Mus musculus: one gene and its partner. The protein of the gene in region 1 binds, or shares a complex with, the protein of each later gene. Links are inferred from orthologs where the notes say so. Each region holds a gene or a part of one and is shown on either strand. Other genes may lie near its edges.

What was found.
Region 2: the proteins of Gabbr2 (region 1) and Kctd16 are in contact, whole or in part, in a crystal structure (PDB 6M8R), measured with the Homo sapiens proteins. The link is inferred for Mus musculus from reciprocal best matches to the Homo sapiens genes GABBR2 and KCTD16. Residues at the interface, in NP_005449.5 of Homo sapiens: Ile882, Asn883, Ile888, Gln889, Arg891, Leu892, Ser893, Leu894, Gln895, Leu896, Pro897, Ile898, Leu899; in NP_001357415.1 of Homo sapiens: Asn30, Gly32, Gly33, Gln34, Val35, Tyr36, Asp64, Leu65, Ala66, Lys67, Asp68, Ser69, Arg72, Phe74, Gly79, Phe80, Arg83.

What each region holds. Positions count from the first base shown.
Region 1 is NC_000070.6:46,988,716-46,993,052, forward strand, and holds the start of Gabbr2 (gamma-aminobutyric acid type B receptor subunit 2 precursor), read right to left. Parts: upstream 3,000-4,337; 5' UTR 2,711-2,999; coding exon 2,393-2,710; intron 1-2,392. UniProt on the Homo sapiens protein: Component of a heterodimeric G-protein coupled receptor for GABA, formed by GABBR1 and GABBR2. Within the heterodimeric GABA receptor, only GABBR1 seems to bind agonists, while GABBR2 mediates coupling to G proteins.
Region 2 is NC_000084.6:40,255,484-40,259,981, reverse strand, and holds the start of Kctd16 (BTB/POZ domain-containing protein KCTD16), read right to left. Parts: upstream 2,984-4,498; 5' UTR 2,335-2,983; exon of another isoform or gene 2,301-2,334; intron 1,953-2,300; 5' UTR 1,622-1,952; coding exon 790-1,621; intron 1-789. UniProt on the Homo sapiens protein: Auxiliary subunit of GABA-B receptors that determine the pharmacology and kinetics of the receptor response. Increases agonist potency and markedly alter the G-protein signaling of the receptors by accelerating onset and promoting desensitization.

The DNA of each region.
Region 1 (4,337 bases):
GTTCCTGGGCACTCTCCCAAATGTGATACTTCATGCACGAGGTGATATATTGACTGTCAGCCAGAATTCTCTTTTCTGGTAGTAACCTCCCTGACTCTCTTAAAGACTGTAAGGCCAAGCAGGAGAAAGAAGCATTCTTAATATTTTAGCAGTGACTGACTTATCCCACCTAAAGCCATAGTGTCTCACTGGTGAATCCACACCAAATGGAAGTGCAGGAAGGGAGGCAGTTATTTATTGAGTGCTTACAGCGTGCCAGACAGAGTGCTGGCAGTGGAGCCTGCTGGCATCTCTCTGTAAGCCCCTGGACGCCATCCGACAGAGGATGGCTAACCACTCTGCTCTTGAGATCTGAACACCTGCATTTAGAGGCATTAGAGATTAAGTGTCCAATTCAAGGTCATGGGTGGGCGGGGTCAGGAGGTCAGAGGGATAACCTATTTCTGCAGTGTTCAACCCTAAGCCCCAGATCAGGTACAGTTGACATTAGAGGGAAACCCAGTGCTGTGCCTGAAATATTCCCACCAACCAAAGCTCCTCTGACTGCCTCATCCTCTTGACTTTGGGTCCTCTCACTCAGAAAGCCACCAAGACACACTTGAGAAAAAAAATGTAAAAGCGTTGGCCCACACCCTGCAACCAAGCGCCCATCCCTCTGCTACCACAAATGGACTAATGAGAAACTTCTCAGGAAGCATTCGAAAAGGTTTTACAAGACATAGTGAAGATGTATACAGGGCAGCCCTGTCTACAATTGCTTTTGTCTTCTAAGAACCGGCCTGTCCCTGTCCCTGTCCCTTCCAGAATATGGGTGGAAGCCACATGAAAGTGTGCCAAGGATATATGCCTCTGCATAAATGCATACCCATCTCAATGTGCTTGTGCCAGACAGGTACCCCTAAAGAACTTGAAACACTGAGGGGGGAGGGAGAAAAAAGGAGGTCGTCAGGAACGTCAATCGAAAGTGATTTCACACACGGTTAGCCCTGTACAGCCACCCAGTGTGCCTCTTCCCGAGGCAGAGGAGCCTCTCTGCCTGCAGCAACCTGAGCTCACCGTTACCAACTGCCACCAATTCCTTCACCTTTTATTTACAGAGCAGAACAGCAGGCTGCTTCACTGGTGAAGCGGGGGAGGCGGGGAATGAGATACAATCTACATTATGCTCTTTTCCGGGAGGGGGTATAAAAAAGGGGTCAGGCAGGGGAAGAAGCCAAGCCCAGGTTACACCACCAGGGGGATGCTCCTTTCTTGAGGAGTCTGCCCGGGAGCTCCAGCAAAGGTGCGCTGGGGGAGCCCGGGAAGCAAGGGTCCAGAGCTCGCCCTGGCTTTGCTGGGAGAGATGCAAGAGGCGCCAACAGAGCTCTCAGTAAAGGAAATCACTGCCCCCTTCAGGCCGAATCTTATCTCTCGAGGCTGCGGACCGGAGAGTAGGGGCTCCCTGGGTCCGGAAAAACTCGCAAACCCGTCCTTATTCCTGATCGCTCTTCCAGGCCCTCTCTTCGTCCTAGCCTCAGAGTGGGCAGTCAGGGTCTGAGCTGAGGCTCCTTGGAAACCTAGACATGAGGGCGTGAGATCGGGGTTTGGGATGGAAAGGTCTTGGTTCTCCAGCTCTGCTCAGAAAAGAAGGCCAGAGGGGAACCCTCTGCCACACTCCAAGTCTAGGCTCCCACGACACGAACGCCTCAAGTGTGCACCTGCTCAGCGGTGTTAGCAGCTGCTGAACAAAAGTGGAAGCGCGATCGGACACCACCACACGTCCCGGGCTAGACCTGTCAAGCCACTCTATGAGCAACTAACCCAAGGCGGGGAGAGGGGGAAGGGGAGTCTCCCAAAACTGCTCCAGCTACTGCCAGCGCTGGACAGATCCAGGCAGCAGCGCTGCAGAACCCTCCGGGCTCCGAGGCTGACCGTGGCGCGCGCGAGCCCTGAGCTGCAGAAGTGCACCACAGGATCGGTCCTGCCCGAAGCTTGGCCCCCGAGGGTCCTGGAGCCCTCTAGCCCTAAAAGGGCGGCTTGGAATTTTTAGGGTCTGGGAATAGGCCCCATAGCCTGTCCAGCTGTGGCTGGCCCAGTTTGTAATCAGTGTGCGTGTTCCTCTTACTTGGCACCTGACAACCCTAGGAGCAGCACCGGACAGGGGCAACCGGCGCAGGCCTCTGGGAGTCCAACCTCTCACATCTCTAACTCCTCCTCTGGTCAAAGGAGACCCCCATTCCACACCCACACAGAGGTGGAAGGTGCTCACAGATCAGGGTCCCACCTGCTCCAGCCAAGCCCAGTGAGACCCTGATGGACCCAGTACGCGGTCAGCCAGCGAGGAGGAGACAATCACGGCTCTGTCCCTCCTCGACGCCCCCAGCCTCGACGGCATGGGTCACTGGACACTTACCTCGGTGTCGTAGAGTCGCAGGTCCAGGAAGTAGGGGCGCAGGAGTGACTCGTTGCGGATCTGCTCGATGGCTAGCTCCACGGCGGGGAGCACGCCGCGCCCGATGCTGCCCTTGGCCACCTCCTTGGTGAGCGGCATGAGGCCCATGATGGAGAGCGGCGGGCTGCTGGGCGGCGGCCGGGGGGCGCCCCGCGCCCAGCCCCAGGCCCCGGGAGCCAACGACAGCAGCAACGACAGCAGCAGGGGCAGCAGCAGGCGCGCGGGCGGCGGCGGTGGCGGCGGCGGCCGGGGCTGCCCGGAGCTCGGCGGGGAAGCCATGCCGCGCCGCGGGCTGCGGGCGCCAGCTCACTCGGCCCGCATGGCCTGGCCCGGCCCGCCGCCCGGCGCCGAGCTCTGCCCGCGGCTCCCGCGCAATGGCGCCGGCACGGGCCCCGGCTCGGCTCCGGCTTCTGCTCGCTCAGAACGGCCGCGGCGGCGGCGGCGGCGCCCGTGACGGATCAATCACGCCGGGAAGGGGTGGGAGCCAGCGGAGTGCGGGAGGCGGGGAGCCAACGAGCGAGCGAGCGAGCGAGCGCCGAGGGGGCCGAGTCTCCGCGCGCCTCTCTCCAGCGCGGCCGCCCCGCACCCGGCCGCCTCCTCCCGCCTCCGTGCGCGATCGCAGCTCTTTCCTGCTCGGAGCCGCGGGACGTCGGACCCTGGAGCCCGGCCAGGGGAGGGAGGGCGGCAGGAGGCTCGGGAGGCGAAGGCAAGGCTGCTGAGCGGCGGCTCGGGCCGCCTCCGGGGACAGGGACGGGCCGTGCGCGCCGGGGGAGGGGGAGGCGCCGGCGCTGCGGCTGCCGCGGGGAGGGCCGTGCTCCCGGCACACGCACACTCGCGCCCCGGGCGCTGCGCCGCGCCGGCTGCTGCGGCCGGCTGACCCCGCCGCCGGGGACTGAGCTCCAGAGCCCCACGTTCGGGGGAATCGAAGCTGCTATGCGCGGGGGACGCGGGCGCCTCGCCTTGCGCTTCCTGTAGCACCTGCAAGGTGGTTGGGTACTGCTTCTCCCAGGTCTGGGCGGGCGAGTCGAGGAAACGAACGTTCTACAAAGGTGTCCTAGGGGCACCAGCAGCCTGCGCTCTCCTGTGCCAGCTACCAGGGAACCTGGGACCCTTGATCCAGTCTGGAGTCCTTTGCCAAGCCCAGGTCAGGGCTGGGATAGGAGACCTATGAGTACTACCGCCTCCTCCAGGCGTTTGACCTCCCGGTGTCCCCAGTCCCAGAGGGCCCCGCCTTAAAATTCTCCCCTGGGTGGGAACCCTGTCTTCAGTCCCAAGAAGCACAGCCTGGACTTGGCTCATTCTGTCTCCCAGGTGGTATAAACACACTGGATAACCCCAGGCAAAGTAGTCCTGGACAAGATGAACCTGAGTAACCCCTCTGTGCCTCCCTGTGAATCATGGCACTTGTGAGCACTAACCTACAACATCCCAAAGCCTGACTAGTACAAGGATACATTACATTACATTATAAAACAGCCCATCCAAGCATTGTGGACCAAAAGCACGACCTTGTAACAAGGGTGGGAATTTAACCTTCACTAACTGCTTGCTACCTGACATATCTGATGTATCCTCAAAACAGCCGTATACGCTTAGTACAGTGGGTCTATCATTCCCGTTTTACAGAAGAATACACTGATCGATAATATACAGCTAATACAGGGGAAGCAGAATGCACAGCCACAAAGGACTCTTATGCACCCCTGATATTGGAAAGCCCTTCCAAAAGGAGGACATGGAGGCCACGGTGCTCTCAGTAGCTCTAGATCCCGTTCCTCCACACAGTTTGTAATGGGTCATCTAAATGGAGTCTGCATATTTGGAGCTGGGCAGGAAACCCGGAGGAAACCTGGAAGATAGAGCCCAGGCTGAATTGAGGACGGCAGTACCTTGGACAGCTCCAGAG
Region 2 (4,498 bases), on another chromosome or scaffold:
CACACCAGAACTCTCTGTTTAAGCCAAAAGAGAGTCTTACAGTCTTAGAGAGAGACCTACTCAAGGACTCTTCACATACACATATTAAATGAATATATATAAATTTTATCACCTTAGCATCTGAGGCATTTGCATCTTGTTGGCAATCCTCAGGGATCTAGTTCCTTTTAGATGCATCTTAAACAAAGTTCAGCTTAATTAAGCCTGCAATGAAACTCCAATCTCAGTAGAAAATGTTAAAGAACCAAACAACAGATTTGCAAGACCCATAAAAGTAAATATCAGACCTGGGGGAAGTGGGGTGCTTTTCAGCAGTCTGCACTGCCATCTAGCCAAGACCATCTCACTCTGTACAAAGTCCATTTGTGTTCAGAAAGCCACTAATGAAAGCAAGCCTGCAGCAATCAGCTTAACAGACCCCAAGAGTTTAGCTGAAAGGATTGGCAGGAGTCCTTCATCCATTCTGACTCTGCAAAACCTCCAAACCCTGTGAACCAACAACAACCCCACTTTCACAAATCACTATGCAGGAAAAAGTCACATATGCTTCCTTAGAAACTATTCCAACATCATTGGTCCCTTCTGACTTTTAAAATCTCTGACTATCCTGTAACTTCATTGGAAAAGAACCAGATTCCTCCGGGATAAAAGAATCTCCCAGTAAGGCTCTGAAAGAACTGAACTGTATGTAGCATCTAGGACTCTACCTATAGTTTAGCATAACTGTAATCCCAAACCAGTATTTGTGAAGAGAACTAATACACACAAAAATAAACAGAAGCTACTTACGATAGAAGACGTACTCAGTATAGCTCGACCAGATCTTATCTTCTGTATACTGGTTGACAAAAGATGCTGTAACCGAGGAGTTACAGGCCACCATGTGGAATCCACACTCTGACAACATATCAAAAGCTCTTTCCAGATGTTTAAACTTGAGATAAAATCTGGAGGTGTATCTTTCTGGAGCTCGGTCGGGGTCTCTACTTTCATTCAAAGTTTCTCCAAAGACTTCTTTTGCCAAGGAAATTCTTCCGCAAACCAAAATCCGGGGGACTCTCCGGAACTTGGCATCTGCTTGCCCCTCTCTGCCCAAGGTACAGGATCCCCTGTAACCCACAGTAATAAAACCCCACTTGCGGTCGTGAGGAAGCAGCGAAGAGGGGGGGCAGATTCTCGTGTCGCTTCCTTGGGAGGCATCTTCGAAGTCACTGTGGCAGAACTCATCCGGGCTTTGCTTGACATCCTCGGGGGCCAGGAGTTTGACGAGGTCAGGGAGCTGGAAGTACTCAGCTTCTCTTTTCAGCCTTCCTCTTTCTGGAAAGTGATCAGGCAGGACCACCTGCCTGTCCCTGAGATAGTCCAGAATATAACGGAACAGAAAGCCATCTCTGTCAATGAAAAACCTTCCCTTGGAGTCCTTGGCTAGATCGTTAGCAGTGTCTCTCTTTGGGGAGAACATTTTCCACAGGAGAGAATGGGGGATGCTTATTAATGTGGAATGGCGAGTGAAGTAAACCTGGCCGCCAACATTCAGCTCTATGACTTCAGGGAAGGAGTTGGGAACAGCAGCCCCCTGGTCCCGAGGATAATAACGGCTACAGTTCCCACTTAGAGCCATTGTCCCTTTCTTCTGCAGCCTCCTGGAATTAAAGGTGCAATCCAACTGAGTTACAGCCCTAGACTTTGCATCCACGAGTGAGGTAAGATAAAGATACTAACTTTTCTTTTTAAATCACCCCTTCTTACCCTGGTTTTGTTTTGGTTTTTATTCTCCCAACAAAGCAGATTTTAGGAGAGTCCACAGTTGAAATAATGCTGGAGGAGAAGTTAAAAGCTGGCTGATAGCGAGCTCTTACTTCACAGGATGTAATAATCGGCTCCTCTACATTCAATCTTCCATTAGGCTCTGTAGGCAAGAAGGCCAAATGCCCAGTTACTCAGAGGTCTGTCTAAGAGAAAAGAGAAAAACGATTTCCTCAGACCCAGAATGAGTCAGAAAAGGAGAGACCTCTGGGGAGAGTAGAGAGGGAGAGAGGGGGGCAAAATGACAGGGAAGAGGGAATATTATTTTTACATAAGCAGCCTGCACCTACGGAGTTTAATCACTCCTTAACTGAGTGAGTTCTTCCCTAGGGGTGTATCGAGTCTTTAAGTTTATCCACATGCCACTGTCTCCAGCAACTGCTGTTCAAATCGATCCTGTTTGCAAATCTGATGTGAAAGGCATATGCAGTTTTCAACTTCCAAAGAGACCCGTTTTTTTTTTTTTTTTTTTTTTTTTTTTTTTTTTTTTCCAGCAGGACAGAGAAAGCAGTGAGTCTCTGCGCTTACCTTAGCGAGTGAGTGCTGGAGACTCAGTTCTTGCGAAGAAATAACCTTTTCCAGAGCAATCAGAAACCACAGCCACACACTGAGCCTGGACGTCTTGTCAAATCCCAAACAGGTAAAGGACAGAGGTATCGATGAAAAGTGTCAAGAGATTGGTGCTCTCGGAAAACAATGATTCCACACTTAAGCTCTAGTAGGTGTACGTTTCTATGTGTGTATGAATGGGTGTATGCATTCACATCTAATCTCTAGCTAAAACGAATCGGGGGGGAAAAAAGTTGAACCGAGAGGATGCTGAGTCGAAGAAGTGGAGCAGAGGAAAAAAATATATATATTCAACCAAAGCTTCCGTAGGAAAAAAAGAAAAAACGAAATCCAAACCTTATAGAACAGATAAATCCTTTGCACCTGGAAGAGTTGCAAGAGGTACCTGGACTTAGAGGCATTCAGAGAGCCCAGAGGCAGGGCGACAGATAGATGCGCCCCCCAGGGTTGCAGCAGCCACCCCACCTGCAGGCAAGGGCAAAGGGACGCCCATGTCCCCGCCAGGTGGGAAGGAAAAGCAGCCGGGAAGGCGAGAGATGCCTGCGGGGCTTGGGCTCCGAAGCTGAGAGGTCCCACGGTGCCAGGAGCAGTTCGGATGCTGTTGTGTGAGCAGTGCAGGCAAGAAACCATCCAGGGAAATGACTATTACATCATCTTAAAGGAATAGGGCTTGGAGAGAGCGGAGGCAGCTCGGAGTCACGTCCTCGGCGGTGACAGGTTGCCAGCACTGACGGGGACGTGCGCTCGCGGTGGGCACGGGACCAGAGGCGCTGGCTGCTGACACAGGGCGGGGACGTTGCACGGTACAGGGGCCCCCAGCCTGTGGTCTGGAGTTTGCACAAGCAGCTTCTTCCTTGGTTGTCCCTCCACCGCAGCCCCCTCCCCCTATCAATTACCCTCCATCCTGGCTGTGATTTTCTTTTGAAAAAAAAAAAAAAAAAACCTTCGGAGGAACTCTTCAAACGCGTGACTCTGCAAACAAACGGGCGGGCGCACTTCTCCTTTTAAGCCATTTTCCCTTTAATCCTATGGAATGTTCAAGTTACAAGTGTTTGTAATTTTTAAAAACATCCTTGGATTACAGTCATACTCAGTCAAATACCTTTTCCCCTTCATTCCATCCACCAATACACACACACACACACACACACACACACACACACACACGAGAACAGGATTAAGGATGCTCTTTCAAAATTCAACTATCCATAAAAAACTAGGAGTTTTAGCAGTAAGTCATTATCTTGACTCACCTGAAAGAAACTGCCTCCTGCAACCTGTTCTGAGGCTGCCTCCTTACTGAGACTCTTGAATGTGCCTGCCCATCCCAACCCATCCCAAGAGTACTCCCGTGGAAGACACGCCTGCCTGCTAAGAGAGATTTTACTCCTGTCCCAGCGGGCTCCCTTAAGTGCATCATTAGAGTTTCAAGAAGGCATTTCCAGGGCAACCTAATACACTAACGAAGTGCTTCCAGTTGAGCCTGCCAGTCAATAATGGCCCAGCCAACAGCTTACAGTAACTCCGCCATTTCCCCTAAAAATATGCAATGTCCTGGGCTCACATCTCTGATAAGAACACACTTATTCGTCAATAAGGTGAAGCACACACCATCCCAAACAACTGATAATTTAAAAGGTTAAAATCAAAAATGGAGGGAAATGGAGGAGATTCCTGTGTTCAGTGCCAACTTTTGCCCCATGAATTAGCTTGAAGATCTTTCAACAGCAGACTGAAATGTGTGTGTGTGTGTGTGTGTGTGTGTGTGTAACAATCTTTTCTTTCAATAATCATTGGGTTACTGAACACATTTGGAATATTAGCTCACTCTCGAACACCTGATTATATTTGACTTTGCTGCTTAAACTAATGCATTAACCTGCTCTCTGGCCTCCAACGCCTTGATTTTAAAGCTGGACCAATTAAGGAAATGTTTATGTGATGCGCTTATATCGCCATCTAGTGTCCAAAACTATCAGGACAGTTTGTTATCTGGAAATTTAGCTAAGTTTAAAAATGTTACCTATTTTTAAGTTTTTATAGTGAACTGAATTTACTTTGTATTCATTATTCACCATGACAACAAAGTAAACATTTCATTTTCACCATGTTAGAGATAAGA